Linked DNA regions of Cricetulus griseus. The protein of the gene in region 2 interacts with the protein of the main gene of each other region in a biochemical or structural test. Links are inferred from orthologs where the notes say so. Each region holds a gene or a part of one and is shown on either strand. Other genes may lie near its edges. The genes, in order: Rev3l, Mad2l1 and Ubd.

Region 1 (9,710 bases), on a different chromosome or scaffold from region 2:
AATAAACTTTTCTGCATTTTAAATGACTATTTTGTAAACTAATTTTTTCACAAAATATGACAATATTTTCCATGTTATTACATAATCTAAAGCATGATTCAGGAATGAATATTATTTTGCTGAAACATTCCCTCTTTATGTAACTATATCCCAACTGTTAAATATCTGGGGCTATTTCCTGTGATGACTATCATCCATTGATTAATTCTTGCAACGAATGCTTATGTTTTAAGCTCTCTGGTAAGCATAGCTCTGTAAGAGTCAACAACAACCACAAAAATTACTAGCATTTCTGGAGGTTACAATGAGGAAAAACTAAACATCAATCTCCAACATGCACAAAATAACAACTACAACAATGTTATGAAGGAGCTTTAAATGTCTGTGGGTAGTGATGACTTCCCCGAGGAAAGATAAATTGGAGTTTTAGAAGGAGGAAAAGAAAATATTCTTCTCACAGGGAAGAACAAGTACAATGCCTTCAATGTGGGAGGGAGCATAGCAAGAAAGGGGGACTGAAATAATGCCAATATGGCAGGAGTACAAAGAGCAAGGCAAGAAGAATACAGCTCAAGCCATGACTGAACAGAAAGGTAGGGCCAATCTATGCAAGACTTTGTAAGATCTTTGTAAACCAAGATTAGGAGGCTATTGTTGTTAACCCTTTCAAAAATGTCAGGAGCTTGGACTAGGATGGTGATGGATAATGAAAAGCAGATAGATAAAAAAGAAAATCCGATTTGCCAAAAGACTTACGCTCATAGACTGAAATCCTCCAAACTAGAATCAATGGGTCAAAAAGGAATATTTCAAGGATTTAGGTATATAGTGCTAAGCTGCCCTGCAGAGAGAACTTTTCTTCATTTGTGAGCTACCTTGTATCTGTTCCTCTATGCAAATTTTTAGTTCTTAAAAAATTTAAAATGACTTAATCCATACTTCCTTCATGACGCCTTCCCTGGACTTCCCTTTTTGCCTGTCAGGTGGTCGCCTCACTCTCCTTTTGGAGTCCTCACTATCTCTTACACACATTTCTATTTCAAACTAATCATTCGATGTTCAATTTACACTTCCATGTCTATCACTGCTTATTTTCTGAGTTTCTGGAGGGTAACGCTGCTTTAACAAAGGCACACAGAATATGTTGACATACGCTATGCTTCTCCATAGTGTTCCAGATTCAAGAGGGCTCCAGCCTGCTTCTGATTTGCTGATATGACTTCAGTCAAATATATTACATAAAAATAGTCAAGCTTTCTATTTGGGACTTCAAATATTTATTAAAGTGGACAACTTTAGCCTAACTAGATCTCTGTGTGCTCCAGAAAATCTCTAATAATTATAACTGAATAGGTCTTACATGACCTTAAGATATTTTTGAGTGTTTAGCTAAAAAGTAAACAAGATTCTCAATTTTTTGAGAATCTAAGATAAACGCTATAGTTTTCAAAATCATACTTATAAAACTGTATTTAATAATCTACCAACTTACCAAAACAGGTCATTATAATAGTCCACTGCAGCTAGGTTTATAAAATAGAAGGAGAAATGGGTCAAATAAGCCCCTATACTCATGTAGGATTTCAGAATTATAATCTATGTTTGTAAAGAACCATCTGATTTCATGTTACTATCTCCAACAATCTATAAAAATACTTCAAAGTAGGAGAGAAAGGTACAGTAGTGAAATTCCTGATCATAATCTTGAGAGCAAGCAGCTCTTCTATTTACTCCTAACTCTGCATTTTCAGCAAGGGAAGCTCTTTGAAAGGGTAACTATATTTAACCTGGTGCTAAGAAAACCAAGAATCATCTAAGCTCAGCATGAAGGGTGCTACATCAAGTAATGAAGCATGGGATGAGATGTGGAAACTGGACAGCATCCAGTTCCTCACCTGAGTCAGGTCCTCAGTAGGATTCTATGTGAATTCCCTGAGTAGTCACACCCACATTCAGTATAAATGAAAAGGCAGGATCTCATACTTTGGTAATAATCTTGCTTTTTGTTCACTAAGACAAGTTACCAGAATGTTGGTTATAAAAGAAAAAAACACTTTTTTTTTCTACAAATAATAATGCTTGGGACACAGTTGCACCAAAATAATGTTCAAAACTTTTTTTAAACAAAATATGAGTCTAGGGCCAATGAAAAGACTTAGCTGGTTTTAAAGGCACTTGCTGCCTGAAGCCTGATGACCTGTTTGATCTCAGAAACTCACAGGGTGGAAGGATTCCCTCTGATCTCCACCCATGTACATTCATTCTCATTCTCTCTCTCTCTCTCTCTCTCTCTCTCTCTCTCTCTCTCTCTCTCTCTCATGAAAATAAATATAAAAAATTTTAATGAGTTTGAAAGAACCAAAGATTTAAATTTAAAAGTAATTTCATCATTCACATGAAAATAAGAAATCACCATATTCACTTAGCAAATGATCAAACCCATCAGTCGAACTTCAAGTATGAACATGTTACCTAAAAAAAGTATGTATATATTCGCAAATTTCACCAACTCAAAACACAGAGGCTTTTAAATACAAGACACTGTTTACATTATGCAAAATATGTCCTTAAAACAGGACAGCAAAAGTTAACTGGACTGTTTCCTAAAGCAGAAAATTACTTTTCATGCAATAGCAGTATTCCAATCAGTTCAGAATTTATAATTCTTAAATAGCCATTTTGAGAGAAATATTCTTCTGATGTTATTTTTCAGGCCTTCCTTTGAAAAGCAAATTCTGTTTAAAAAACATCTTTTCTCCAAACCAAAGTAAAGAATTAAGGACTTCCATAATTAACACCTATAAAGTGAAGACATGTTTATGGCGCTTCATGGACTTATCAGATGTTACAAATTTTCATTCATGTAGTTTGCTTGTTAGTAAAGATGTAAACTACCTGCATTTTGTAGTAGTAAATTTGTTTTCAATAAAAATTCTAGCATTCAGAATTTTTTTTTTCCAAGACAGGGTTTCTGTTCAACAGCCTTCGCTGTCCTGTAACTCGATCTGTAGACCAGGCTGGCCTTAATCTCAGAGATCCACCTGCCTCTGCCTTCCAAATGCTGGGATTAAAGGCGTGTGCCACCACACCCGGCAAGCATTAGATTTTTAATAAAATGTTCTGACCTCTCTATTACATTATTATTTTCAAGTTTTATTTCTCTATGTGGCCTGGACTAGTTTTCTTTGGGAAGAGAATTCAAAAGCAGAAAACTCTGCAGCTTAGTTTTTGAGACTGAATTAATATTAATTCCACTGGGATTTTCTAACATTAAGAAATGCTTGATTTATGAAAACTGTAGACGTTCAGTGTATGCCAACTACTTCAATTTTCTTCTTGTTGAGGAGACAAGAATTGTTTTATACTATGTAAGGAATTATTTTATTGTTTTCTCTCTTGACCTCAGCTCCAAGGCATATCCAACCAAGTAAATTATTAACATACATTAATGAATGAATCATTGAGTGCTAAACTGACATTTATATTCATCCATGTGTCATGCTTGAAACAGAAAATTTTGTTTAAGCCTATAAATTTTACCTCTTTCAACCGGATAATCTCTGGCAATTTGAAGTTTGAAAAGTATGTTTTTATTCATTTACATTAGACATTTCAAAGTATACCATAATACAGTGATTTTTTTCTTTTTTTTTTAATTAGGGGCTAGTGACCTATTGTAAGATATTCAGGAAGGAAAGAAGAGATAAATACTTCTTTTGAAATATTTCACATTCCAATATTCAGAAACACAGGTGTATATACCACAGTCTATATATATGTAAAGGATATTCTTCCACAAAACTGTGCTGTTAGTGATAATCTGTGCTGTATTTCCACAAACAAAACTTTCTTACATAATACACCTTTAAAATCACCCAGAAATACATATTTAGTGAGTGTAGCAGGAAAAACAAAACTGTAGAAGAGCAACTCAACCAGCGTACAAACTGCTACACCACAACACATCCTATTAGCATGTTGCTCTACAACTTGAAAATCAACTTCACTTATCATTCTCTGCCCCTGAATCGAGAACAAGCAGGGTGTTTCCCATCAAAACAAAGACAGCACCACGATATTTAAAAAGGTAGAAAACCTATCCTGCAGAACAGTATAATGCCTCTTATCTTCCAGTCTTTCAAGTACCAAGGGCTGTACTCTGCACAAACTGTTAACAGCATTCGATTTCTCTATCTTCCACGGTTCACAGCGTCAAACTCCCACTATTTGAAAAAGGAGTCTTTTGCCAAACCTTATTTATAGCATTGACATTTTTAACAAAGAGAATTCACATTAAAAGGTAATAGCTTAGGATGGGGGCCTACATTTTGGAAAGTGGTATCATCTTGGTAGTGCACAGAAGCTGACGATAATAACAAAGATGAGTGGCGATGAGGCCAAGGAGCATCAAGTGGGAAATGCTATCTAAAATCCCATAGGGCGAAACCTGGGCAAGAACATCTTCCTCCAGAAAGCCGCTCTATCATTTCACGTTAACAGTTTAAAAGCATGTAAAAAGCAAAACAGAAAAAATGAAAACAGGAAAACCATGTGTATTTGGCCACTATCCTATTTATATTATAAATTCCAACGAGTGTTCCAGAACATAGCTTCTGTCATTTTTCCCACCATTTCTTCGAAATAGTCCCCCCCCCCTTTTCTATTTTTAAAATGCAGCCCTACAACCCAGCCTAGAGGCATTTAAAAACGTCTCTGCTGCTGAGCTTGGCTGTGTTTCCTAACGAATTCACCCCGTTAAGTGTAATATTTTATGTGGGGCGACACAAGCACGCATTTCCTATTTCCACGGATGCACGTTTCCTGAAAGCATTGCACCTGAGGATGCCGCTCTGTCCCCGCCGAGGCATTAAACTCTAAGCAGTCACGACCTGCACTCCAGCACAACCACATGGTCACTTCAATGAGAAAGATTATCTGGCCCCGGGCGCCACTTTCTACAGCCACAGCTTCTCCGGCAGGGGCAGAGGAGAGCGAGGGTGAAAAGAGGCAACAGCGAGCGCCTGACAACAGGGCTGACACTTCCCCTCAGCGCTCAAAGCCATTTCTAGAACAGGGCTCTAGGGAGGCGCAGCGGGTGTCCGGGGTCCCACCAACCACCGACCTCTGAGGACCCACCCGCGAACTCGTCCTTGGGGGGACGAGGCACAGCCACCGAGCCGGGGCCCCAGCCCGCCCGCCGCTCGCACAGTCCGTACCCGGCGCCCGCTGCCTCTCTGCCGCGGAGGGGGGCGCAGCGCTCGCACGAACCCACATTTTTCTGCGCCTCCTGTCACGCGCGGGAGAAAAGGCGAGCAGAGCGAGGAAGAGGGAAGAGTCCGCAGCGACCCCGGAGAGGGCCGGCGGCCGGCGTGCGCGCGACTACGCGGCGGCGGCGGGGAGGGCAGCCCCGGCGCCCCGCCGCTCGCACTCCCGCCCGCCCGCTCCCGCTTACCTGCCGGGGTCGCTCCGAAGACTCGTACCACCGGCACCTTCTTGACAGGGAGCTGGGTGAGGGGGGATTGGCAGATATCCAGCCCCCGCAGCGGGCTGGCCATGTAGTAGTCGGCAGTCACTATCCTCACAGAAAACATGTTCGCCGCCGCCGCCACCGCCTCCCCTCCACTGGCGACCTGGCAGCGGCGGCAGCAGCGGCGGCGGCTCCGCAGAGGCGCCTCCTCCCCTTCTCGCTCGGGTCGGCTCTCTCCCTCCTCCCTCCCCTCGCACGGACGCCGGGACGAGCGGCGACGCGCCGGGGGTGCGGGGCTGTGGTGCTGCCGCCGCCTCCTCACACGCTCCCGGCGAGAGGCAGCGGGAGAGAAGCCCTGGCGCGTTCGTCGGGTCGGGTGGTGCCGCTGCTGCTGCCGCCACGGCCGCCGCCGCCGGGAATCACACGGGCTCCTCGGTCCCAAGCTGCAGCTCTTGTTGCCATGATGATGATGTCACGGACGCAACCACTGGGGGAGGGGTGGAGGGGTGTGTGTGTGTGTGTGTGAGTGTGTGAGTGTGAGTGCGCGAGGGTGGCGGCGGCGGCGGCGGGCCGGGGAGGGCGGCGGGGTGGGCCGGGCGCGCGCCCCGGCGGGGACCCGGTTGGGGGGCGAGGAAGGCGTTCTCCCCGGCCCGGAGCGCGCGGCTTCGGCAAGAGCACGGCGGGAAGCCGGGCCGCGCGGCGCACGCCGAGGAATCGATGATTCGGCCTGTGGGCTGGGTCACTGCGGCGGGGCCGGGGGAGCGCCGATATCATGGATGGGCTCGGAGGGGCGCTGGGTTTTGGAGGCTCCTCGCGCTCGCCTCGCCGACCGCCATTTCACGTCCTCTAGAGGAGGCGGGCGCGGCCGCGGAGAGGATTTTTTTTTTTCCCCCCCCGCACAAGGTAAGGGAAGCCGCCCGCGGGAGAAGGGAGGCGCGGCGTAGATCTCGTGCGGCCCGGGCCTCGCGGGAGGGAGGGCGGGCTGGCGGCCGGGCCGGGGCGGGGCGGGGCGGGCGGGGCGCGGGACGAGCCGGCCCTTCTCAGGTAACGCCGGGCCGTGCGCCGTGCGCGGAGCCCGGGCCAGCGCGAGGGGCGGGGGCGCGCGGGCCTCGGCCTATAAAAGGGCCGCCCTGGCGCTCGCTCGCTCGCTCGCTCGCTCGCTGGCTCCCCCGCCCCCAGCTCGGGCGAGCCCGGCGCTCCGCCTCGCCCCCTCCTCTTCTGCGGTGCTGCAGTGCCTGCGCCCGGCCACTTAATGAGATTTATTCACGCGCGGCCCTGCCCAGCTTTGCCCAGGGTTGGCGAATACACAGCGCAGGGATTTCCCACCGCCGTGTTTTTCTCCCGCCCCCTGTTTTCCCCCCCTGTCCCCCCCCCGCTCGCCTTCTCCCTGCACCCCTCTCCAGGACTAGTGCATTGACTGTGGTTTCCTCCGCGGCCGTGCAGGCTGCACCCCAGCAGGAGCGAGCGAGTGCACGTAAAGACTTGTTTGCCCCCGTCACCTCCCTCCACTCCGCTCCCGGCCGCGGGGTAAGCCCTGAGAGCTTTTCAGAGAAAATGTTTGGCGTAAGGAACAAGGCTAATGAAAGTCGCCGCGTATTTCTGAACACGTGCAAGATTTTACTACGGGTTAACGCAGAAGAAAAGGGGCGTGGGGTAGGACCGTTAGACAAAAACCAACTTTATTTGGAGTCTGAACGGTTTTGGAGTGATGCAGTTAGGGACTGGGGGCTGTGGAGGGAACAGATGCTGCTGCTTTGGATATTAAATTAGAACCTATGTTTGGCTTGGTCACTAATAATTGGGCGTGACCTTGGACAGATAATTTGGTCTCTTTAGGCTTAAGTTTTCTCTCGTGTAGAACGAGAGCTTCACTTAAAAATTAATCTTTGTTCCCCTCCCCCCCAAAAAAAAGGATTTAAGAAGTAGGACAAAAAAACTATGGATTCAGCTTTGAGATTTGCTACTGGAATTAGGACACTTGTCAGTCAATATCCATCCAAAGTAGAGCTCATTCTGTCCCACTTACAAAATTATACAGGTGATTTTTTGCCTGATATTATATCGCCTTGTATTTGGAGTGGTATGACAGCTCCTTGTTTGCAGGCATTGTAGGTTTTCACATAAAATCAAAAGGCTTAAAGGGACACTTCACTGAAAGAGGGTTCCTATAACATAAATGCTAATAAGAATTTATGCTTAGGGTGATTTGAGACCGATCAATACTGTAAATTACACTCAAGCACATCATAATAAATGGCAAGACAAGGGCATAACCTACTAGCAGCTTTAGTACAAGGGAAATATTTTAAAATTTATTTTAAGTACTAAAATACTATAGTTGTGATTTTAAAATAAGACTGCCATGCACAAGCCCTAGGTTCATCTGTAATGTCCAAGTGCATACTCACCATGTGTTTTCTGATAAATATACAAGCAGAATGTCATATTGACAGTAGCAGTGATTTCCATGATGTTCTCTGGCGCTTACAGTATTTTTTAAATTGTGATTTTGTCACTTACTAAATCACATTTTGGGGGGATGGGAAATTGAAATCTGTATTCTTAGCAACCTTACCAGTCAGCCCTGTGAATCTCAAGCAGTGTAAGATTGAGAGTCCTGTATTATATTTTGATGAAATCCATACATAATTTTTAAATTATACTGTTTCTAACTGATGAAAAGTAAAGGTATCAAATTAAGATTAGGCTCTTTCTAGAACAAGCTTCTTGACTGTTGCCTCTGGAAACATTATTTACTTTTTCAAAAGGCACTTAACAATCACGTTTCACATTTTTCTAGAACTCCAAGGAAATAGTGTTCACTTTTGAAAAACATTTACAGCTTTGAGGTGAGGAATATTGTTTCTGTTACATGTAATTTAAAGTTTATGATCAAATAAGAAAACCTGATAACAGTCTCCTAACCATGATTTAATAGTTTTTATAAATATATTCTTCCTGGAAAAAAAACTTATAGCATTTTTAGTTAGTGAACTCCATTTTAAAATTTAATTTACTAGGTAAGTGAGTTTGTCTGATAACTATCAGTTTATTTTCTCATCTATGAAATGATGAGAAAATCATTTTTTTTCAAGCATGTAATCAGACTCAAAATTTAGTAATATGGGTGATAGTTCACATCCAGATGACCACTCTGTGTACAATATGTACAATGCCAAACGTGAATTTAAGTATCTTTTTTCCAAATGGCTCTCATTTGCTAAGATAATGAGAGAAATGGTGATAAGGTCTCTATCCTTGCAGAGTTTATATGCCAGAATTATATGAACTGTATTTTAATGATAGCAACTAATATTTGTCCATTTTTCTAGTTCATTGACTGACACTTATCCATTTACTCAGAGCCTTCCTACCTTCTGTATCAATACTTTTCAACATCAGTTGAAAACATTTGCTTCTGAGCAATTGATTATCTGGAATAGTAAGCAAAGACCACCCTATTTGTGTGTGTGTGTGTGTGTGTGTGTGTGTGTGTGTGTGTGTGTGTGTGTGTGTGTGTGTGGAGGGTTCCTGTTGGCTTACAACCCGTCCATTCTGTAATAGCAACTTTTCTTATTGTGGCCAGAACACATGACTAGAACAAATATACAGAGGGAAGAATTTATTTTGACTTAAAGTTCTAAGGAATAGTCCATAAGAGAAAGACGTGGTAACAAGAATTTGAGGTTGCTGCTTATATTTGTCCAGGCAGGAAGCTGAGAAAGATGAACTATAGTGCCCAGCTCACTTTCACCTTTTAATTTATTCAGGGACCCCAGCTCATAGAATAGTGCTGTTCACAGTCAGGTTGGTTTTTCCCTTGCCAATTAAACCTTTCTGGAAATACCCTTGTAGACAAAACTTGTTTCCTTGGTGATTCTAAATCTGACCACATTAACAATGAAGAGTAACAACCACAACCTTCTAGCTTGCTCTTCTATACTTTATAAGCTGGCAAATAAATTGGTTCAGACTCCCTTGCAGCTAGGGTACTAACGTGAGATTAGTGGTGTGATGATAAATAATTATTACCAGCCAAAAGGAGTATGGACCACCTGATATTTAGTGTTCAAGTTTCTACAGTGACTCCCAAGCCACCAGAATGATTTTACGTAAATGTGAATTAATTGGAAAGGATGCTAATAATCAGAAACTGGCTTCAGTGTGTGGTTTAATTTCCAGCAGTCAAATGCACTGATTCAAGGTATGTTTCTGAAAGTGGGCAACATAGCAATTCACCTGT
Region 2 (9,818 bases):
AGGAGGAACCCAACAAATGGAACCATGGGCACATTTATCAAAGTAGGATCCTGGCTTTCTTCACCTGAAAATGAACCAAGGGAAGAAAATTCATCAACTATATTTGACTCGGTATCTGGAAAAAGACACTAGAGAATGCTAATTCCATTGTTTCCTCACCTTCTCTTCAGTCATTGACAGGGATTTTGTAGGCCACCATACTATTCACTTTGTGGATTGTGGTAGTAAATGAGCGCAGACGGACTTCTTCAGAATTGGTAATGAACTGGGGTCCTGATTCTTCCCACTTTTCAGGGACAACCAAATCTTTGTCAGTGTAAATCAGCAGATCAAATGAACCTAAGTTGGGAATGAGATTAAAGCACAGTACTTTTTAAAAATGAAGCTGTCCTCCCCACCTAGCTCACCAGGACTCATTTGAACCCTACCTCCTAAGGAGATAGCTTATCTTGCTCTAATTATAATTTTCCTCAAGAAAACATGAGTTTAGAACAGAGGAGTATACTTTGTAGTAGAAAGTGAAAATAGTAAAAGGAATTGTGAGAAAGCTTTCACGTAGAACTGTAGACTATCTTAATTTTTCAGCATTTTCATTGTTCCCCTTCATTTTGTTGAGTGTGTGGGGCGCACATGTGGAGGCCCCAAGCTAATGACTGATGACCCCTCCACTTCATTCACCGAGGCAGGGCTTCTCATGCAAACCAGAGACTGACAAGATGGCTAGTTTTGGTAGCCAGGTTGCTTGGGTGATTCCATCTCTGCCTTTCTGGGCTGGAGTTAGAGGTGGGCGCCCAAAACCACCTGGAGGGTCCTGGAAGTGGGGATCCTAACTGAGTCCTCACACTTGCTCAGCAAGTGCTTTAACCACTAAGCCACTTCCTCGGTCCTTGCACTCACATTTTCTGGAACACACATCTGTTTTTTGTGCTGCATTCTGCTTCCTGTATCCCATTTATATTTAAAGGCAGTGATAAATTATGAGGTTTAAACAAATGGGGATCCTCCCAACAGCAGCATACATTTTCCCACGCAAATTTAAATAAAGAGATTGTATAATACTTACAAGAAACTTCCAGCAGTGGCAGAAAGGTCACGGTAGCTGTGATTTGCCTGATCACTGAACGGATTTCATCTTGAATGGCTTTGTGTGACTTTTCTCTACAAACACTATAAGAGAACCAAACAGTTCATTCTAGGTTTCATTAAGTTAACTAAAATACACTGGTGACTATTTATCTGAACAAAATGCTCCCAACAGCACAGAAGCAATATATTAGGAGACTAAAGATATTCTTGGGCTACTGTATCTGCATCTGTCCTTCCCATCATCCTTCAGGACTGAATTTAGTGTCAGGTCATTCAGTGCATGACGATTACTAAGTTTCTCAACCACCCCGATAACGACAGGTTCACTAACTCTTTCAGGATATGGATTCTAACACAGAAACTTGGTAGAATTTTGGCACTTTTTCTTCTAGTAACATCTAAGTACCTAATTCCTTATCAAATCAAGTAAAATAAATTACACATAAAAACTTCCATAAGCTAAAAATTTCCTACAGACAAAAGAGCAAACTGCTCTTCATTATAGGAACTTATAGAAAAGTGTGTCTAGCATTAAGGAAATTTCTGATGTAGAGCAACTGAAATCTTACAGTTTACAAAGTTCACGGCATTAGATGGAATAGAGCCACATCTAAGTTAGGGACGGGTCTAGGCTCACTTCCTGCAGTTAACAGTACCTTTAAGCGAGTATTAAATAGTCCCCATAATATATTATATCATGGTTTTGGTATAACCAGAAATACAAAGGTCAAATTTCACTGGGTTTGCCTAAAGACAGAATGTTAAAAGCATCTTATCTATACAACCACTGACAGGCTAAGAGGAACTCAAGTCCTCCCAAGCCTGTATCTTTAAAAGCTTACCATAAATAAAGAGGGTAAGAAATCAGTCCAAAACAATTTGAACTCATGTAACAACAGAAGCTGTGAAAAACCAAGCAGGAATAATTTAATCCAAACTTACCCATCTTCTTTTGCAGTCTTGTCACACTCAATATCAAACTGCCATCTTTCAAGGACCTCACCACTTTCAATATTTGAGATGACCACCACCAGCTTCTGAACAGAGCACTTGTAGAGCCACTCTGCAACACACAGGGCATCACTTACATTCTCACTGCAACATAACTCTCTTCTAAAGACCCACTTTTTAGCTTTACAAAATTCGAACAATGGTAATTTGGACTTCCTTTCATTTACAGGGAAAAGCTTCCCACTAATAATTGAGGCAATTTTTAAATTCTTCCCATTACTAACAGGTGCAACCAAGGGCATCACAGTGAACCTGTACTTCCACTGTAACTCACAGTAAGGGAATAGGGTATAGGCTTTCATCTAACCATTTTCAATACAACTGTCATGTCACATCTGTGGTGGCTGTTAGGAACAGAGAGATAGTATAAAAGCATAAAAAAAAAAATCTGATCCATTCTGGTAGGCGAAGGAAAGATTAGTTTTTTCGTTAATTCTGCAAAGGAGAGGGAAATACAGGCTTTAAATACCCAAAAGTGAAGAACATATATAAATTGGCAGGACAATAAAATTACAAAGACAAGGAAGAATATACTATTATGAAAAATCAAGATGCTATATCCTGTAAAATCTTATCTGTGGAATTAATGAAACTATGCTTTTAAGAATCAGGAAAACCACAACTGTGTTTTAAGCAGAGTGAACAATTAAACTTGTGTTTCCAAACTATCATACTTGGTAGTAAGTTAGCTGGAGGGGGTAAAAAGAGGGTCTACAGACACTAGGATTCAAAGTTCATAGCATAAACCGGTAGAGAGGGAACAAAGCAATTTCATGCTTAAAACTGTTAAGATTATCTGATTAGCTTTCAATAAGAATCATTTTGATTCGAGGCCAGCCTGGTCTCCAGAACGAGTGCCAGGATAGGCTCCAAAGCTACACAGAGAAACCCTGTCTAGAAAAACCAAAAAGAATCATTTTGAGGTAGCTTTCAGGTTTCAGACTTCATTTCTCGTTGGACTGTTAACCTAGTAACTAATGAACAATTCTCGAGATCATCCTACATTTAGTTTTTATTCTGCAGAGTATAAAGCATACAGAGATGTCACGTTGTTTATGAGTCTGGAGTAGAGGGTTAGCTTAATCACATAAAAGTTGGTAGTGAAGTTGTGAATGGCACAGATAATCTAGCAATTATAAAGAGGATCTCAGATGGAACCCTGAGTTAATACTGAAATTGGGATAGCAACTCAGTATACATCATTTTTCTTTTGTAAGATTAAAGTTGGAGGGAGATGAAACCAACAGGAAGAATGGAAATCATAACAGAGAAACAGAAAATACAAGAAAGAAAAGAAAGAAAGAAAGAAAGAAGTAAAATGCTTCTAAAAAGGCTAGAGGAAATGGGACTGAAAAGAAAGAGAACAATTTGCCTATTCATAAAGAGCAATTCCTGTGTTTTAACTAGGACAGGAGAAGTGAGTGACAACAAAAATGTAGATGAGGTACAATGTCACCAGTGACAACCTGTAACCCCAGTATCAGTTAAGGCTGGATTCTCTATTGAACCAGGATGATGATGATGGTGATGACACCTAGCAATAGCTATCTAGCAGTTCCAGGTCAAGTATGAGTGACATCCAATGACCATACATGATTCCACCCTGACCCACAATCTGGGAAAATAATGAGAGATGGGCTGCTCCTCTCAGCGTATACGTATCTTGCTTGCACTTGAGAATAGAAATCTATCTCCACATATTTATCAAGTACTTCACCTTTCCTATTCTAGCTGTCTAATCTATCAAAGAAGTTCTCAACCAAGAGCAACTTTATCTACAGGGCTTCAAGGTTATCGAATTTCAGGATAGTCAAGAGCTTTTGAGAGACCCTGCCTCAAAAGTAAAACAAAACAAAAAAAATATGGCCTTAAAGAGATGTCTATGTTCAGCTGGTCACCAAAAGAAGGTCATTTTAATGCTAAAGTTAACAACAACAAAAAAAAAATGCAATGAACACTGTAATGAAACTACAATAGAAACAAACTAAAACATCTTTGCAAAAAAAAATTTCTTAGGAGCAGTGGTGCTCTTCCTAAGAATTGACACCTTCTTCGGGTCTTTTAAGGAACCAGGCATGCACCTGGTACATACAGACATAACCCAGGAAAAACACCCAAACACATGAAAAACTAGAGAGAAAAAAGACAGCTGTAATGCTTTTGGAATTGGTTTTTATAAGACTTTGTTGGGAGATACAAGGCTAAACACAGAAAAGATTATTATAATTAGAATGGCAATCCTAAGTGGTGTGCAACACGAGGAACAAGGATTCCAGAAGGAATAGAAATAGGTGGGAATAAGTATTGGCCAAACAGGCAGCACAACACTGAGCTACGAATGAATAAATAAACTGTCCAGATACTGAATTACAGCCACCGCTTTTAAGGAAGATAAAGAGAATAGTTGAAAAGTAAAACCGGAACTTTCCTGTATATTGTTATTTAGTAATACCCTGGTTACAACAACTGCAGCATATCAATGGGTGTCTAAGAAGAGCAAAATCATCTCGTGTAAAACCATCAACTCGTTGTACCTGTTTAAACCGCAAAATGCATTCCTAAAGCAGCTGATAAGACACTTCCGACTCCGAGACGCCTAACATCAATACACTCAGGCTACTTAAAAGCAGTGGGAGAAAGGATGGGATTTCCCTCCATTACTTCCTCCCTCCCAGTCCAGAAGCGCTGTATTTGAGAAGGCATATTGCTTTAAGCCACCCTCGTAAACGTAACCCTGTCAGAGGTAAAACTCAAAACGTGATTACCTTTCAGCTGTTCGACCACATTATTGAGATACTTTATGAGCTCGGGGTCAGTAGTTACAAGCAAGGTGAGTCCGTATTTCTGCACTCGAGTAAAGGTTTCCGACGGGTATATGCCACGCTGATACAAAATGCTGTTGACGCCAAACGCTGAAAACGAAAGGAATCGAGCAGTGAACACCTACTCACGTTTCCAAGTCTTCCAGAAAGCAGAGCTGACACAAAACGACACCGGAAAACCTTCAACCCAGCAATGCCAACTCTCACGACACCGCAGTCTAAGTGCAAATACACATGTGCTGAGCGGATGTCAACACAGACCCCGGCTTTCAAAGCGCGAATGGCACGATGCCCCAGGGAAGGCCCCTCCGTTCTCCGCCACGGCACGAACGAGCAGGAGACCGGGCGGTGGTTCCGCCCTAGCGCGTCCTAGGTCCCGGCCAGGCCGCTCTCCGGCCGCATTCAAAACTCACAAAAAAACTCGGCCACGATCTCCGCGCTCCCGCGCAGGGTGATGCCTTGCTCTCGGGCGAGCTGCTGCGCCATCACTCGATCTAACGGAGACCGCTGTCAGCCTCACCGCACACCGCGCCCTCCCGGCTCAGCTCCTTCAGCTATTCCCCGCCACCCGGTTCAAAAATAACTACGCAGCCCGCGGGGCGCTCCGTGCGCAAGCGCAATGTCCCGCAAGCCCCACCTACACCGCCGGTTTCCGGCCCCGGCCCCGTCCTATAAACGCCTCATTTCTCCCTAAGCCCGCCCCATACTTCCGGTTTCCGCCCTAAGTCCCTCCCCCATAACTGAACCCTCTAAGGACGGTCTGCTCTCAAGATTCCGTCCAGAAGCGCCGCTTCCGCTGTGAACGCAGTCCCTCGAGGACCAGAGAGCGGCCCCTAAGTTCCGCCCAGAGCCACTTGTATCCGGCCCTGGCTCCGCCCTCGCTGCTTGCGCAGGCGCAGAGTGGGCCTGGCTCCGCGCTCTCCGGCTTCCCGCCCGGGAGGGTCGCTGTGGGTGGGGCCTCTGGTCGGGTGTCCAGGAAGAGCCCCAGGGTGACGGGGTGTCCAGGAAGAGCCCCAGGGTGACGGAGGGAAGGCTCGCCGGCTAAGTCCAGGTCCGAATATCCCCGAAGTAGTCTCAGCTTCGTGGATAGTTTGCAGTTTGGGAGAGCCTGTGTTTTGTGTGGGAACGCGAATTTTCTGGAGAAATATCAGAATAGGGACTGGGTACAAGAGAAGGCTCAGCCAGTAAAGCCAGTAAGGTGTGTGCCTTCAACACACACACACACACACACACGAGAATCACACACACACACGAGAATCACACACACACACACACACACACACACACACACGAGAATCACACACACACACGAGAATCACACACGAGAATCACACACACACACACAGTAAACACACACACACGAGAAACACACACACACACACATACACACACGAGAATCACACACACACAGTAAACACACACTCACACACACAGTAAACACACACACACGAGAATCACACACACACACACACACGAGAATCACACACACACACACAGTAAACACACACACACGAGAATCCCTTCAACACACACACATGAGAATCCCGCACACACACACACACACACACACACACACACACACACACGAGAATCCCTTCAAAACACACACACACACACACACACACACACACACACGAGAATCCCTTCAAAACACACACACACAGTAAACACACACACACACGCACGAGAATCCCTTCAACACACACACACACACACACACACACACACACACACACACACACACACACACACACGCATACAAGAATCCCTTTCTTTGTAATTAAAATAGCTTGCTTTCAAGTTCTTTGGTCAAACGCTCTTCCTTTTTGAGTATTTAAAGCCTGTACCAGAGCATGTAAAGTTACACATGGGCTTCATGTTACTGTTTTTTTTTTTTTTTTTTTTAAACTTTTTTTTAAAGATTTTATTTATTATGTATACAGTCTTGTGCCTGCGGGCCAGCAGAGGGCACCAGATCTCCTTCAATGTGGTTGTGAGGCACCATGTGGTTGCTGCGAATTGAATCTCTGGAAAACAGTCTGCTCTTAACCGCTGAGGCATCTCTCCAGCCCCATGTTACTGTTTTTATGTTGAACAGTGTACGGGGTCCAGGAGATGGCACGTCTTCCAAGTGTCCCAAATGTTTCTAATGCTGGTACACAGATCACACTTTGAAACCAATCGACTACTACAGATATTATAATACGAATGTTTAAGAAGCCTGAATTAAATAGTTGCCAGAGAGATGGAATAAGGGTTACATCAGAGAGCGAAACTGTGGAGCAAGAGTTGATGACAGATGAGGAAGACGAATGAAACGGGCATGGGTAAAGCTGAGGTACAATGCCCTGTACTCCCAAATGGTGGATTTTTCTAATTACTTAATCACAGCAACATTTAAGATTCTGGAATCTTTGAAAGTTGATTTCTTAACTGTTAACTTTCGAGCACTTGATTTAACACTCCTCCCCTTACCAAAAGCAATACTATAAAATGTTTCTTTGAAACTTCTTAGACTGAGTTTACTTTTCCTCATAATTCAGTGAACTCTTGCTGTGTATTGTTTAGGGAAAGGATGTTTGAATGGGGAGGAGTAAAAATTGAGTCTTTTTTGATAAAGCGAATCCAAACAATAAACAGTCATTCTCTTATTAATAAAACAAATAAATATGGAGATATGTCATAAGTAGGCCTATATTTTATATTAGGGTATTAAAAACAATTATTTGATATTTTTCTAAATCTAGAAGCACATGAAGGCCGAAGAACTCCATTAGTGACTTAGTTAAGTAATCTTATAGATAGGAACTAAGATCTAGGGTAGTTACAGAGTTAGTCCAAGAACCAGTATCTAGTTAGGGGCAGATTTATTGTAGAGTTTAGACTGCTTACCTTAGTGTCCTTTTAAAACAGAGTTGTTTGAAACATGCCAATAAATTTCTTTATTATTGTGAGGATTTTGGCTGGGGGCAAGATTCGGGCTAAGGACATAATTTGTTTACAGATGTGCAATAATAAGCTATAAAAAATTTTGTGTAGATACACAAATATTTACAATTGCCAGAAGAGGGCAGTGTTTACCTGTACAATGAAACCTTTGAAACTAGAGCTGAATGCTTGTTAATAGTTTTTAGGCATTTGTGTGTGTGTGTGAAACTTCAGAATGAAATGGGCCAGCAGTCTGAAATATAATATATGTGCACCATACATATTGAAAATACATGTAAATGGGTTCTTGAAACTAAGTAGTTTATTCTAAATCCCACAAAACCGGGTATACATATCATATTTTTGAGCAGTTTTAATCTGCTGAAGTTTCTTTAAAATAATATTTTTATACTGGGGTTGCATTATGTGGATTTGAAGTGTTTGTTTTTTAGTTCTGTTTTTTTTTTTTGTCCCAAAACTTAGTGTTACTCAATTTCCTTTTTGGTGTTGTTCTTGAAACGGGCTCCCATGTATCCCAGGCTGGCTGAAAACTTTTTATGGAGCCAAGGATGACCAGAGCGTCTTCTCTTCCTGATTCCTCAAGCTGACTGCTAGAATCACAGGTATGTGTCACCATGCCCCATTTATTCAGTAGTGGGAATTGAAGCAAGGACGTCGTACAAGCGCTCTTTGAGCTGCATCCTCACCCCTTACTTTTTCTTACAGAGCATACTGTTCACTTGAACAACAAGAATTATAAAGCACTCATTTCGTGTTCTGATTACCAAGGCTCATTTAATATGTCTAATGAATATACATATATTTACATGGTTTTCACAAGTAAGTTGTAGAGTGTAATTCTCTTCAAGTCCTGTTCCCCTTCCTCATACTCCCGCCCGCCCCCAGCATTCTTTGATATGGGACTCAAGTGCTCAAACAAGAACACGTAACAAATTTTATGATGACATTTAACTAATTATCAGTGCTTTAAGTGTTATTATTTGTGTATGTGTATGTCTGAATGTGGGTTTATCCATGTGAGCACAGTGCTTGTGTAGGCCAGAAGAGGGTGGCATATCCCTTGGAGCTGGAGTGTGAGTCATGGAACTTGGTTCCTGGAGACAAGTCTCAGGTCCTCTGGGGAAGCAGCAAGCACTGTTCACTGCTGAGACATCTTTCCAGACCCAGCATTGCTTTAAAAGGTCAACAGATATATTTCCATAATGGTAGAGTTTATAATTTTAATGACATGATTGCACACGTGGTAAATTTTTAGTAAAAATTAAGTATGAAAAATTATTGAAAACTAATATAAATTCTTACAATAACTAGATGGCTTATTATCAGGAAGCATTACCACGTTTTGTTATCTACTTCATTTGTTATTTATATAGCATTTATTGCAATGTTATCATGAGAGTTCTACATATGGACCCATAGACAGCACAGTCCATAGAGAGACTCTGGGCCTGCCTGGCTTGGCATGTGTTTAGTCACAGCCCAGAAAAGTAACCTCTATAGTAGTCTTATTTTTTTCTTCAAGCTTCAGGTTAGTTCTCAATCATGTATATTCATTCCATTGTTTATGGTGGAATTTTCCACGTATAAATTGAGTACGGCAGTTTTTCTTGTGTATAGCCCTTTTAACACCAGCCACCAACAAAAATGCTCGCCGAATCCAGATTTTATTTAAAACTGGAGATCAAGTAGATGGTAATTACCTTATGCCAATGTAATTGTCAGTTTAGATGCCATCCCTTTGCTTCCAAATAGACTCTCTGTTTCAAGGTATTCTTTAAGTTGAGCTAAAATAAGCCTCTCCTAATTCATGTCACTAGCATTCAACAGGAAAGAAAAAGTTGTCTCCAAAAATATCCTTACGGACTTCAGTATAGAAATGGCACACGGTATACAGCATTTGTATATTAATAACTACATTTTGACTTGTGTGGCGAATATTCTTAGTTGCAT
Region 3 (9,843 bases), on a different chromosome or scaffold from region 2:
TCAGAGTGGATTATGTCCTTCAGTAACTGTCTTCATAGCAGCCCTTGGTAGATACACTGAATTTCTTCTTTAATTCCTGGAAGTGCATCCAGAGCCAGGGAGGCATACCTGATTAGCGATGGACTTGTGACACATGATTTTCTAAATCCTCAACCCGCTCCTCTGCTAAACATAAGCATTGTTTCCCTTGGAGGAGCTTGTGAAGGAATACTGGCGTGTGGCTATGTAGTGAAACTAAAATTAGGGCATGGGCTTTTCCTCTCTTGCCCAGTTTATCCCACAGGGGGGATTCTTGCTTGTCATAGATAGAGGTAAGACAGGGCCTCACCGTGTAGCTATGATTGACCTGAAACTCTGTGTAGACCAGGGTGGCCTCTGCCTCACAAGTGCAAGGCCTGCACCAAGCCCACTAGCATTAAACTTCTTTGTCTTACCCTTCCGAACCTTCTTGGAGTTTCCCCTCAGGCTAACCACAGCTCAGCAGAGCGCTTCCTGCTGCTGGGTTTTACGGACTGGCCCTCACTGCAACCCGTCCTCTTCGCGCTGGTTCTTTTCTGCTACCTGCTAACGCTGACTGGCAACGCGGCGTTGGTGCTGCTGGCCATTCGCGACCCTCGCCTACATACACCCATGTACTACTTCCTCTGCCACTTGGCCTTGGTGGATGTCGGCTTCACCACCAGTGTGGTGCCGCCGCTGCTGGCCAGCCTTTGCGGCCCGGTGCTGCAGCTACCGCGCGGCGGGTGCATAGCGCAGCTGTGCGCATCGCTGGCCCTGGGCTCCGCCGAGTGCGTGTTGCTGGCGGTTATGGCGCTGGACCGCGCCGCTGCCGTATGCCGCCCTCTGCATTACGCCTCACTCGCCTCACCCCGCTTGTGCCGCGCACTGGCCAGCGCCTCCTGGCTTGGTGGCCTGGCTAACTCAGCTGCGCAGACCGCCTTGCTGGCGGCGCGTCCGCTGTGTGCGGCCCGGCGTCTGGACCACTTCATCTGCGAACTGCCGGCGCTGCTACAGCTAGCCTGCCGCGGCGGCCGCAGCGCCACCGAGCGCCAGATGTTCGCGGCGCGGGTGGTCATCCTGTTGGTGCCTTCTGCCGTCATCCTGGTCTCCTATACCGCCGTGGGGCGCGCGGTCTGGGGTATGCGCTCCCGCGCAGGGCGGCGAAAAGCGGCGAGCACCTGTGGCTCTCACTTGACCGCTGTGTGCCTATTCTATGGCTCTGCCACCTACACTTACCTGCAACCCACATATAGTTACAACCAGGGTCGCGGCAAGTTCGTCTCGCTCTTCTATACGGTGGTCACACCCGCGCTCAATCCCCTCATCTACACACTGCGGAACAAGGAAGTGAAGGGAGCGGCACTGAGGTTCTTGAGGAGTCTGGGGAGGCGGCAGGTCGGACAGTGAGAGGACTAAGGAGAACACAGGGTCCGGGGATCTAGGATGACCATATTGTTAGTCTTTGCATGAAAATCTGCAATTTTGCCCTCGAGGAGTTCAGGGTTGGCAAGAGGGAGATCCCTTTCTCTCACTGGCTAGGATTTGGATTCTTGAGGGGAAATCCCGGAAATATCTAAACACACAACTATAGTGATGGGGTAAACGGCTCTTAAGACTTTCGACAGAAGGGAAGCATGATGAAGGAGGGGGACATCGTCACCCTCAGGAGACTTGGTAACCACTCCTGAAGAATCCACATGGAGATAAGACGATGGGCACCCTGGTGCTGACCTTTAGTTTTCCCCAAGTTTACAAAAGACCGTGAATAATTCCATGGTCTCAGCCATCAGGCAGAGTCCTTGTGCCCTACCTTACAGCAATAGCTTCCAGAAACAGGATGCAGTTTCTCTTCTTGGGGAGCCAGCCCAGCTAATACAGAACAAGCCAGGTGACCAGTGTCCACCACAGGGCATAAGACTACAAGGAAAATCTGCATGTATAGGCAGTTGTGCCAGGCCTGGTTAAGCTGGGAATCCCATCTGCAGGATATGGCTTTTGAACTAGTTTTAAAGAAGAGAAAGGACTAGAATTGGTGAAGATGAGAGAGCAGCCATGCATGTGGCCAGGAGTGAGACAGAGGAGCAAATAGAAAGAAAACGGAGAAAGCTATTTGATGGTGAAGGAAGTTCTATCAGTCAGAAGAACCCAGAAGTTAACCCCTTCCCTTCCTTACCCAGAGATGAACATTTTGTTAGGTGTTAGACACAGCAGATGGAGAAGGTACTAGATTTTATTTCATATCAAATATCTTTAAATAAGAAGAGGGGATGATAAGTAAATGAATTTCTAAATCATTTATTAGACTGTGATCCTATTGGGGCAAAAAAATCATAATACATTACTTCTCTGTAAGTAGACTCAATTTGGTTCAACAATTATTCAAGAATCCACCTGTCCCTGACTCCCCAGTCCTGGAATTAAAAGTGTATACTACCACACCTGACTAATATTTCAGTTTCCGCTCTCAGCAGCAATCCTGCCACTCAATGAAGTATGTCAGAAACAAGGAATCACGGACTTGACAAATGTTTTTAATCCACCCCCTCATCTCCAATTTTTATTTCATTGTCCTTAATTTTTGGAAATCATCAAAGGATGTGATTGGTAAAAGCTAAAAGGGGTGGGCTTTGATCCTCTTATCACCCCATCCACATAGTCAACCCCCAATGCAGTGCCCTGTCAGAAAGAGCAAACTGCCCCTCCTGATGTTGTAGTCAGCCATGGTCTTTCCATCTTCCAACCTCTTTCCATTGCAAGTCACAATCTGAGTCTTGGGGGTCACACCAGTCACACCCTCAATCATCTCTTTCACCTGGGCCACTGAGCTGGATCTTCGAACTGGGAGGAGGTGCCTTTGCCCTTCATTGGTTGACTCCACCAGAAACAAGTGCAGCTCTTCATCGCTGGGCTTCACCACCTTCAGCGTGAGGTGGATGGTTGTTTCCTTGTTAATGCCATAAGATGAGAGTGTTCTCTGGGGCTTGAGGGTCTTGGGGCCTAGCAGAAGGACCTGGTCCTGCACAGAAACCTTGGTTTTGGATCTGATATGTTCATTTATCTTCTTCACTTTGTCATTCTCAGTAGCGTCAAAGGTCATTGATGGCCATTTCTCAGAATGGACAATCTAAGAAAACAAAGGCAAGGAAGTCACCTAGAATGCCTGCCACCCTCTACACCCTACCCCTCACGTTCATTGTTCCATCTGCTTGGCCCTCCAGCTCCTACCCAACAATCTTATCTCTCCCTCTATTGAAACTTTTGTTTAATTGCCATATTATGACACAAATTAAAACATTAGTCTCATTCCTCTTGAGATATGTATATATACATATATATCCAATGTAATCACCAATTTCCTACCTTATTAATTTGCCTCTCCTAAGCCAGATATCAAAAGTAAAGACAATACAGGGCTTCAAAAGATGTATACAGATTCTTAAACAACTCCGAAGCAGATTTCCCAGATGTGGCAGCTTCAGAGGATACTCTCAGCCGTGCTTCATTCACCCTCTATGTCTAATTCAGAATGAACCCTGATTAAGTCATAATCTCCACACCGTTGCTTTCTTATTAACGTTCCCATCAATTTCTGTTAATGCCCAGGTTGTGGTGATGCTGTGCTTAATATTGTTTATATATTTTTTGTATTTTTTGTAACTATTGTTATAAAGCATAATATCCTCATTTAATTAAACCAGGATCCTAATCCTGAAGATAGGAACTATATCTAAGTTTAATTTCATTCGCTGCAGAATTCTGGAAGATGGGGGGAGAATCAGGCCTGCAAACCCTATGGAAACCTTCTCATACTCCATTAAAAAAAAACATCTTCCCAACCTAGATATTTCAGCTGTTCCTTCAGTGGAGGTGTCATCCTGTGTTGGGCACTGCCCTGATTGCAGGTTCTCTTCATGAGGACATAGTCTCACTTAAGGTAACATGTTAGATCACTGATAACTTAAATGAGATTAGGGGAATTTTCCTTTGAAAAGAGAAAAGCTTAAGGATGAGAACTCTGAAAATTATTTCTCTAATTTCACAGCTTGCCCATCCTGGTTGAAGCACAGTGCCCTGCCATTTCTCCCCAGTTTATCTGGCAAAATGGCTTATCTGATAAAATGTTCTTGCCACCAAGCCTCACCACCTGAGCTGATCCCTATGACCTAGGTGGTGGAGGGACAGAACTGACCCCAGCAGATTGTCTTCTGACCCTGCCCCTGCATGTGTGTGTACATACACAACAAATACAATAAGCCAAGTGACCAACCTCTCTCCAGAGTACCTCCTTTCTGTTGTGCAGTTATCAATGTCTGCCTTGCCTCTTAAACTGTGCCCACCCAACCACCTCCCCATCCAGGCACTGTACCCCCCTGAATTGTGGAACTGCATTCCCAAATGCATGGAAATACTTTCCCTTCAGACCCCAACTTACACAGATGCAGGAGGCCATGTCTGTAATGAAAGGCTGAGTGAGAAGAGAGTCCCGGAGTCTGCTTATATGTGAGTATCTGGGTTGGAAATCCCCAAGACCGTTGTGTTGTCCAGTTTAGAAACAACCTTTGTCCTCAAGAATTTCCTTTTGCTTTCTTTGGGGTGGAGTTAGTAATGGACACTCTTTGTACAAACTTCTTCCCTTAGTCTACTCCATCTGTACTCCTAGTTCTGAACATAGTATAGCCCTCCTATGATAAGGGCTTCCAAACCCACCTTATTACTGCCCAGCCATTGGCCTTGACTTTCACTGGCTTGATAATTCATGATACTTGGTAGCCCTCTCCAACTGCTTTTAAGAGCTCCAGACCTCTCTAGAAGCAAGGATACCCAGAGAGGACAGGTAGTATTGGTGCTGACCGACCAGACTATCAGGAACCTTTTCCCAATAACTGGGAAGAATGTATAAGACATTCGTATAAGACACAAGAGAAAATGACCCTGGACTTCAGAGTTATGTTATGGAAATATGCTCCCCTCTTTTAACACAGGTCTATAAAATTAGATAATTGTAGGCCATTCTTAATGTCTCCCCAGCTCAGAAAACCTTGCTTATAAAATGTTTATAAACACACACACACACACACACACACACACACACACACACACACACTTTGGATTCTCGGGTTTTGAACCTCTAATACATTTCCAACCCTGACTCAGGACCTGTAAATCAAACATATTACTTGAGAACAATCCAAAGCCAACAGTTAAATCCTGACTCCCACCTTTCTCCATATGTATACCACAGTTCCTGGATTTCCCCACTGTGATTCTTGGATACCTTCCTCCTCCTTGAGCTCAAAGGCACATGAAGGTGCTACTAGTTCCCTCACTCATGAGATTTGCTTAGATAAGACCAAGAATGTGAGTGAGCTGTGTGTCCTCAGGAAACTTACCCAATTACTCTAATACCAATAATATTCCTAATATTCCAAGCTTGTCACTGGCTTCTCAGGACATTCCATGGAACTAATTTTCAAAATTGTTTATTAAAAGTACTTTAGATATTTTCAAAGAATCCTGTAAAATTCCAAGTTATTATCTTTGTTTTCAGTATTTGCAGTGGCTATGTACAAATACCTTCACCTACTGAAATTTCTCTCACCCTCCTCAGTTCCTCCCCCATCCTCCTCACCTCCCTACCCATCCAACTTTATGGTCTTTCTCTATCTGTGTGTCTCTCAAACACACACACACACACACACACACACACACACACAAAAAAAAAAAAAAAAAAAAAACCCACAAAAATGAAAATCAAAACAAATAAGCAAAAGACCAATGAGACAGAAAATGCCAAAATAAAGCAAAATGAAACAAAAAGCCCACAAAAATACCAATGAGTTAGTCTGTATGTCAACTACTCCTGAATATGAGGCCTACTGTAAAGTATGGTTAATTTACCCAATGAGAGACTCCGTTGGAGAAAACTGATTTTTCCCTTTGCAATGCAGTATCAATTACAAACAGTTTCTTAGTTAGGGGTGGCACCATCCCTCCTTCTCCTACTGGAAGATCTTAAACAATTTCATTTTATTCTAGAAGGTCCCATTCTGAAGAACTTGGATTTACAGAGTACCTGGGTATAGTAAGACAATCTAAAAGCTTACTCAAATATTTTGAAATTCTAATGAAAAGTATATTGAAGCTCTTCTATTATTGATGTATTTGGTGGAGTAATATACTTTTTTAAACACAGGATTCACATGAAGGGAAGAATGCCTTGTAGAATATACTGAGTGCCGCTGGTTCTACTCTTCTCTCAGATCTCTCTCAAACTCCCAATTGTCCTCAAGGATTAAAATCCCAGTTTCTGACCACAACTGTTCAACAGGATCTTGGAATTCAGAAACATCATCAGTCTCCAGCAGAAAAATTCATCTCAGATTGAAGGTGAATGGGAAATAGCCTTGTAGGGGGATAGTGAGAAGGCCTGACAGAAGAGAAAGGCCAAGCTGCCAAGCTTGGTCTGCAAAGAGCTCCTTCACCTTTTAATTCCTTTCCGAAGTCACTACCTTCTTGTATATTTATTCAGAATTGTTTGGGCCAAGACTTGGGCTCTGAAGCCCTCACAACCTAGGCTTGGCCATTCATCCTCCATATGCCAATTAAATAAACAGTAATAGTGAAAAGCAGAGAATGGAGATTTATTCAGAGTGGTCATATTATCTTCTAAGTGTGACCACTTTGAATAAGGGACAAAGAGGTCCAATGACCCTCCAAGTCCATCTTCAACTCCCTGACATGAGGTGTAGGTGTTGAAGAATCTAGGCGAATTCATAACAAGTTGTCTTAACCAAGGTGTGGTCCTTGCCATAATCATTATTTAGGCTCTCATCTGTCCTACATGGTAGCCTGACAAGTTACCAGAACTATGTGAAATCTCCTTCCAGGAGACCAGCTCTCTACTCTGCCATCTGACTGGCATCAGGTTTCAGTCTTTTCCTTCTCCCAGCATGAGATTCCTGAGGAAATTCCAATTTGGGTGTTAGGGAGGCCTATTGCCTCAACAGTTTGACAGCTAAAGAGAGGAACATAAATATCTCTTTAGAACGTTTTTGTTCCTGCCCAAGCGTTTAAATATTCATGTTTCTCTAGGCAGGCAAGAGGGAGAGTAGATGGTAAAATGTTGCTTATAGCTACATACTCTTTTAACTTTATGTCCTTCCTTGTCAGTGACTGTCTGGGTGCCAGCATTTGCATAGTCACAGGTAGCAAGAGCTGCCTTGACCAAGAGCTGCCAGGAGAGTACAGTGCGAGTTTATCATTCTTAGCAATGATTTTTATTAGGAATGATTTTTGTTGTCTGATACTGCAGATCTGCAGGTCCATCTTCATCAACACATTTCCTTTATTTTCTTAAACACATGGAGCTCTGCCTTCCCCAGTCAGTAAGCATACCTTTCCCTCCAACATTACTCACAACACCATGAGTGTGTAAGAGCACAACACAGGCAGCATTGCCTCCAAGAGCCCCTACTCTTTCCCTCTGGTTCTGGGTTATTCTCCCATACTTCCTCCTAAATTCTTTTGAAGCCTTTTTCTGTAGCAATGGGATCACCTATCTGCTTGTCTATCATCCCCAGTGAGTCCTTGAAGACCATGATTGTGTTTTAGAACACTTGCATGCTCAGCTTGTTATCTGGCATAGAAAGATGCTTAATAAATATACAGTGTGTGAATAAATTAATAAACTAATAACAAAAAGTAATATTTAATGAGAATTTATATTTCAGAAACTGCATAAGATTATTAAGCATGACCTAATTTGATGTTTTCATGTTGTGGTGAAGAATTGGTATCTTTAGGGATAAACAAGACCAACCCACTAAAGTACTTAAAACCCATTTAAGTACTAGCTAGTCAGCAAGATTCTAGTGCACATCTTTGCTACGCTAGTCCTTGGCTTCTAGTCATATTATTGTTGCCTCCAAAGGAAGGAAAGAACAGAGAAAACACCCACTGCCGATGGGGGTTTCCAGACTGTGAAGGAGAAGCTATCTGGGGGATTTCCCACCAGAGAGGACTTAGGTTCTGAGAAAGAGTGCCTTTTCAAGTAATATAAACAATAAGTCTGGACTCTGATCCTTTCTCTTTTTCTTCCTGTCCCCATCCTGCTCCACCACTTTCTTATCATCATCTGATTTCAAGGAAAAGAACACAAGTTCAAGAAGACAGCATGAAGAAATATTCATAGATCTCAAACCAAGAAAAGCTATAATACCAACAACAGAGAAAAAGGAGACATATTCTGAAATTCAGAGTGTGTTCACCTAACAGAAATGAAGCTGAATCTAAATGCTATGAGTTACTTGAAGATATTAAAGAGGAAATAAGAGTCTACAAGTCACACTGGCATTTCTTCATCTTATCCTATTCAAATTTAAGCTATTGTGATTAACCAAACATTGTTTTGAAGCAGTTTATTCCTTAAGAGATATAATGTACACTTAACTTTATTATAGGTAATATTATGATTTAAAATATTCTAGGTGAAATTATTACAGAATAATTAGATAATACAGCATTTTGAACCACATATCTGTATAATAAATATAAACATAAAAATATAGAAAAGTAAAAATATCCACTGCCTTGGCACATGTTGCTGATTCTCTTTGATCCCTAAACATAAGGGTACAAGCTAGAAGATACACAGAGGCTGTGTGCAACTCAATGATAGAGCTCTTAATTAACATGCATGATATATAAGTCTTATCCCTTCCCTGAAAAAACAGAAAAAGAAAAAGCTACACAAAGAATTAGGTGGATTCTCTTCAGGAATTTTGTTGTTATTTTTTTAGCTTCTCTGCTAATTTTCTCCACTTTTATGTATTCTTATAAATAGGCAAAAACTCTACCACTACATCCCCAGCCCTAGTCTTGGAAATAATTCTTATTACATTGCCCATTTAAAAATATAGAATAAAAATATAGAAACAAAGCACATGAAAGAAGTAGCTGGTCATGGTTGCACACCTTAATCCCATCACTCCAGAAGTAGTAAGTTAAAGGACATCTGGTTTACATAGTAAGTTACAGGCCAGCCAGGCTACACAGTAGTAAGATCTTGTCTAAAAAAATTAAAAATAAATTTAGGGAAGGATGATTCAGCAATTGAAAGTGTGCACTGCTCTTTCAAAGGACCATATTAGGAGCATAGTGAGGAAATTCTGGACCAAAGCAAGACCAAAAACTGTAGAGGCAAACTCCAAGCTCTGCATCTCCACATCTGATATCAAAACACTCTTCAGATCTCCAATTCCTTTCAGCTTTATTGATTGTAACACACTTCTTTCTCTTGGGCTGATTCCACTCCCTGTTAGCAGCTTTTCTTAGCAGGTATCCCATAGCTCTGGTATCTCTACCATCTTGGGGTCTCCAAGGCAACCCAGGATTCATCTTCACAGCTTCATGAAATGGCCTCGCTTTATTCAGGGACTTTATTTAGGGACACCCCTGACACACGTTTGGCCTTAGCAGCTTTCCTTAGTCACTCCTTGATGACAAAGTCAGAGCCATGTGGCCAAAGCTGACAAGTTCTGCTGCTTGTTGGGGTTAGAACACGCCACCTTGTTTAATTACATCTTCACCAGATTTCTGTTTTCAATGGTTTCCTTCACTGCTTAAGGTTGGCTGTTCTAGAACTTTCTCTATAGACCAGGCTGGCTTTAAACTCAGAGATCTGCCAGCCTTTGCCTTCTGAGAATTGGGATTAAAGTCATGTACCACCATACCTGACTCTACGCCTTTCTTTAATTACTTTTCACAAGTTGGAAACTTAGCTGGGTGGGATCTTGCCCTGAAGTCACCACTCTCTTTATTTCATTTCTTAATCGGTTTAGCTCC

Evidence for each region.
Region 1: the proteins of Mad2l1 (region 2) and Rev3l form a complex in vitro, tested with the Homo sapiens proteins (2 studies listed by BioGRID). The link is inferred for Cricetulus griseus from reciprocal best matches to the Homo sapiens genes MAD2L1 and REV3L.
Region 3: the proteins of Mad2l1 (region 2) and Ubd form a complex in vitro, tested with the Homo sapiens proteins (2 studies listed by BioGRID). The link is inferred for Cricetulus griseus from reciprocal best matches to the Homo sapiens genes MAD2L1 and UBD.

The regions. Positions count from the first base shown.
Region 1 is NC_048595.1:262,229,656-262,239,365, reverse strand, and holds the start of Rev3l (DNA polymerase zeta catalytic subunit), read right to left. Parts: upstream 5,924-9,710; 5' UTR 5,592-5,923; coding exon 5,453-5,591; intron 1-5,452. UniProt on the Homo sapiens protein: Catalytic subunit of the DNA polymerase zeta complex, an error-prone polymerase specialized in translesion DNA synthesis (TLS). Lacks an intrinsic 3'-5' exonuclease activity and thus has no proofreading function.
Region 2 is NC_048601.1:76,483,925-76,493,742, forward strand, and holds the start of Mad2l1 (mitotic spindle assembly checkpoint protein MAD2A), read right to left. Parts: upstream 5,535-9,818; 5' UTR 5,406-5,534; coding exon 5,333-5,405; intron 5,010-5,332; coding exon 4,863-5,009; intron 2,150-4,862; coding exon 2,029-2,149; intron 1,168-2,028; coding exon 1,064-1,167; intron 340-1,063; coding exon 167-339; 3' UTR 160-166; intron 65-159; 3' UTR 1-64. UniProt on the Homo sapiens protein: Component of the spindle-assembly checkpoint that prevents the onset of anaphase until all chromosomes are properly aligned at the metaphase plate.
Region 3 is NW_023276806.1:228,537,712-228,547,554, forward strand, and holds Ubd (ubiquitin D), read right to left. Parts: upstream 4,994-9,843; 5' UTR 4,451-4,993; coding exon 4,433-4,450; intron 3,125-4,432; coding exon 2,657-3,124; 3' UTR 2,280-2,656; downstream 1-2,279. UniProt on the Homo sapiens protein: Ubiquitin-like protein modifier which can be covalently attached to target proteins and subsequently leads to their degradation by the 26S proteasome, in a NUB1-dependent manner.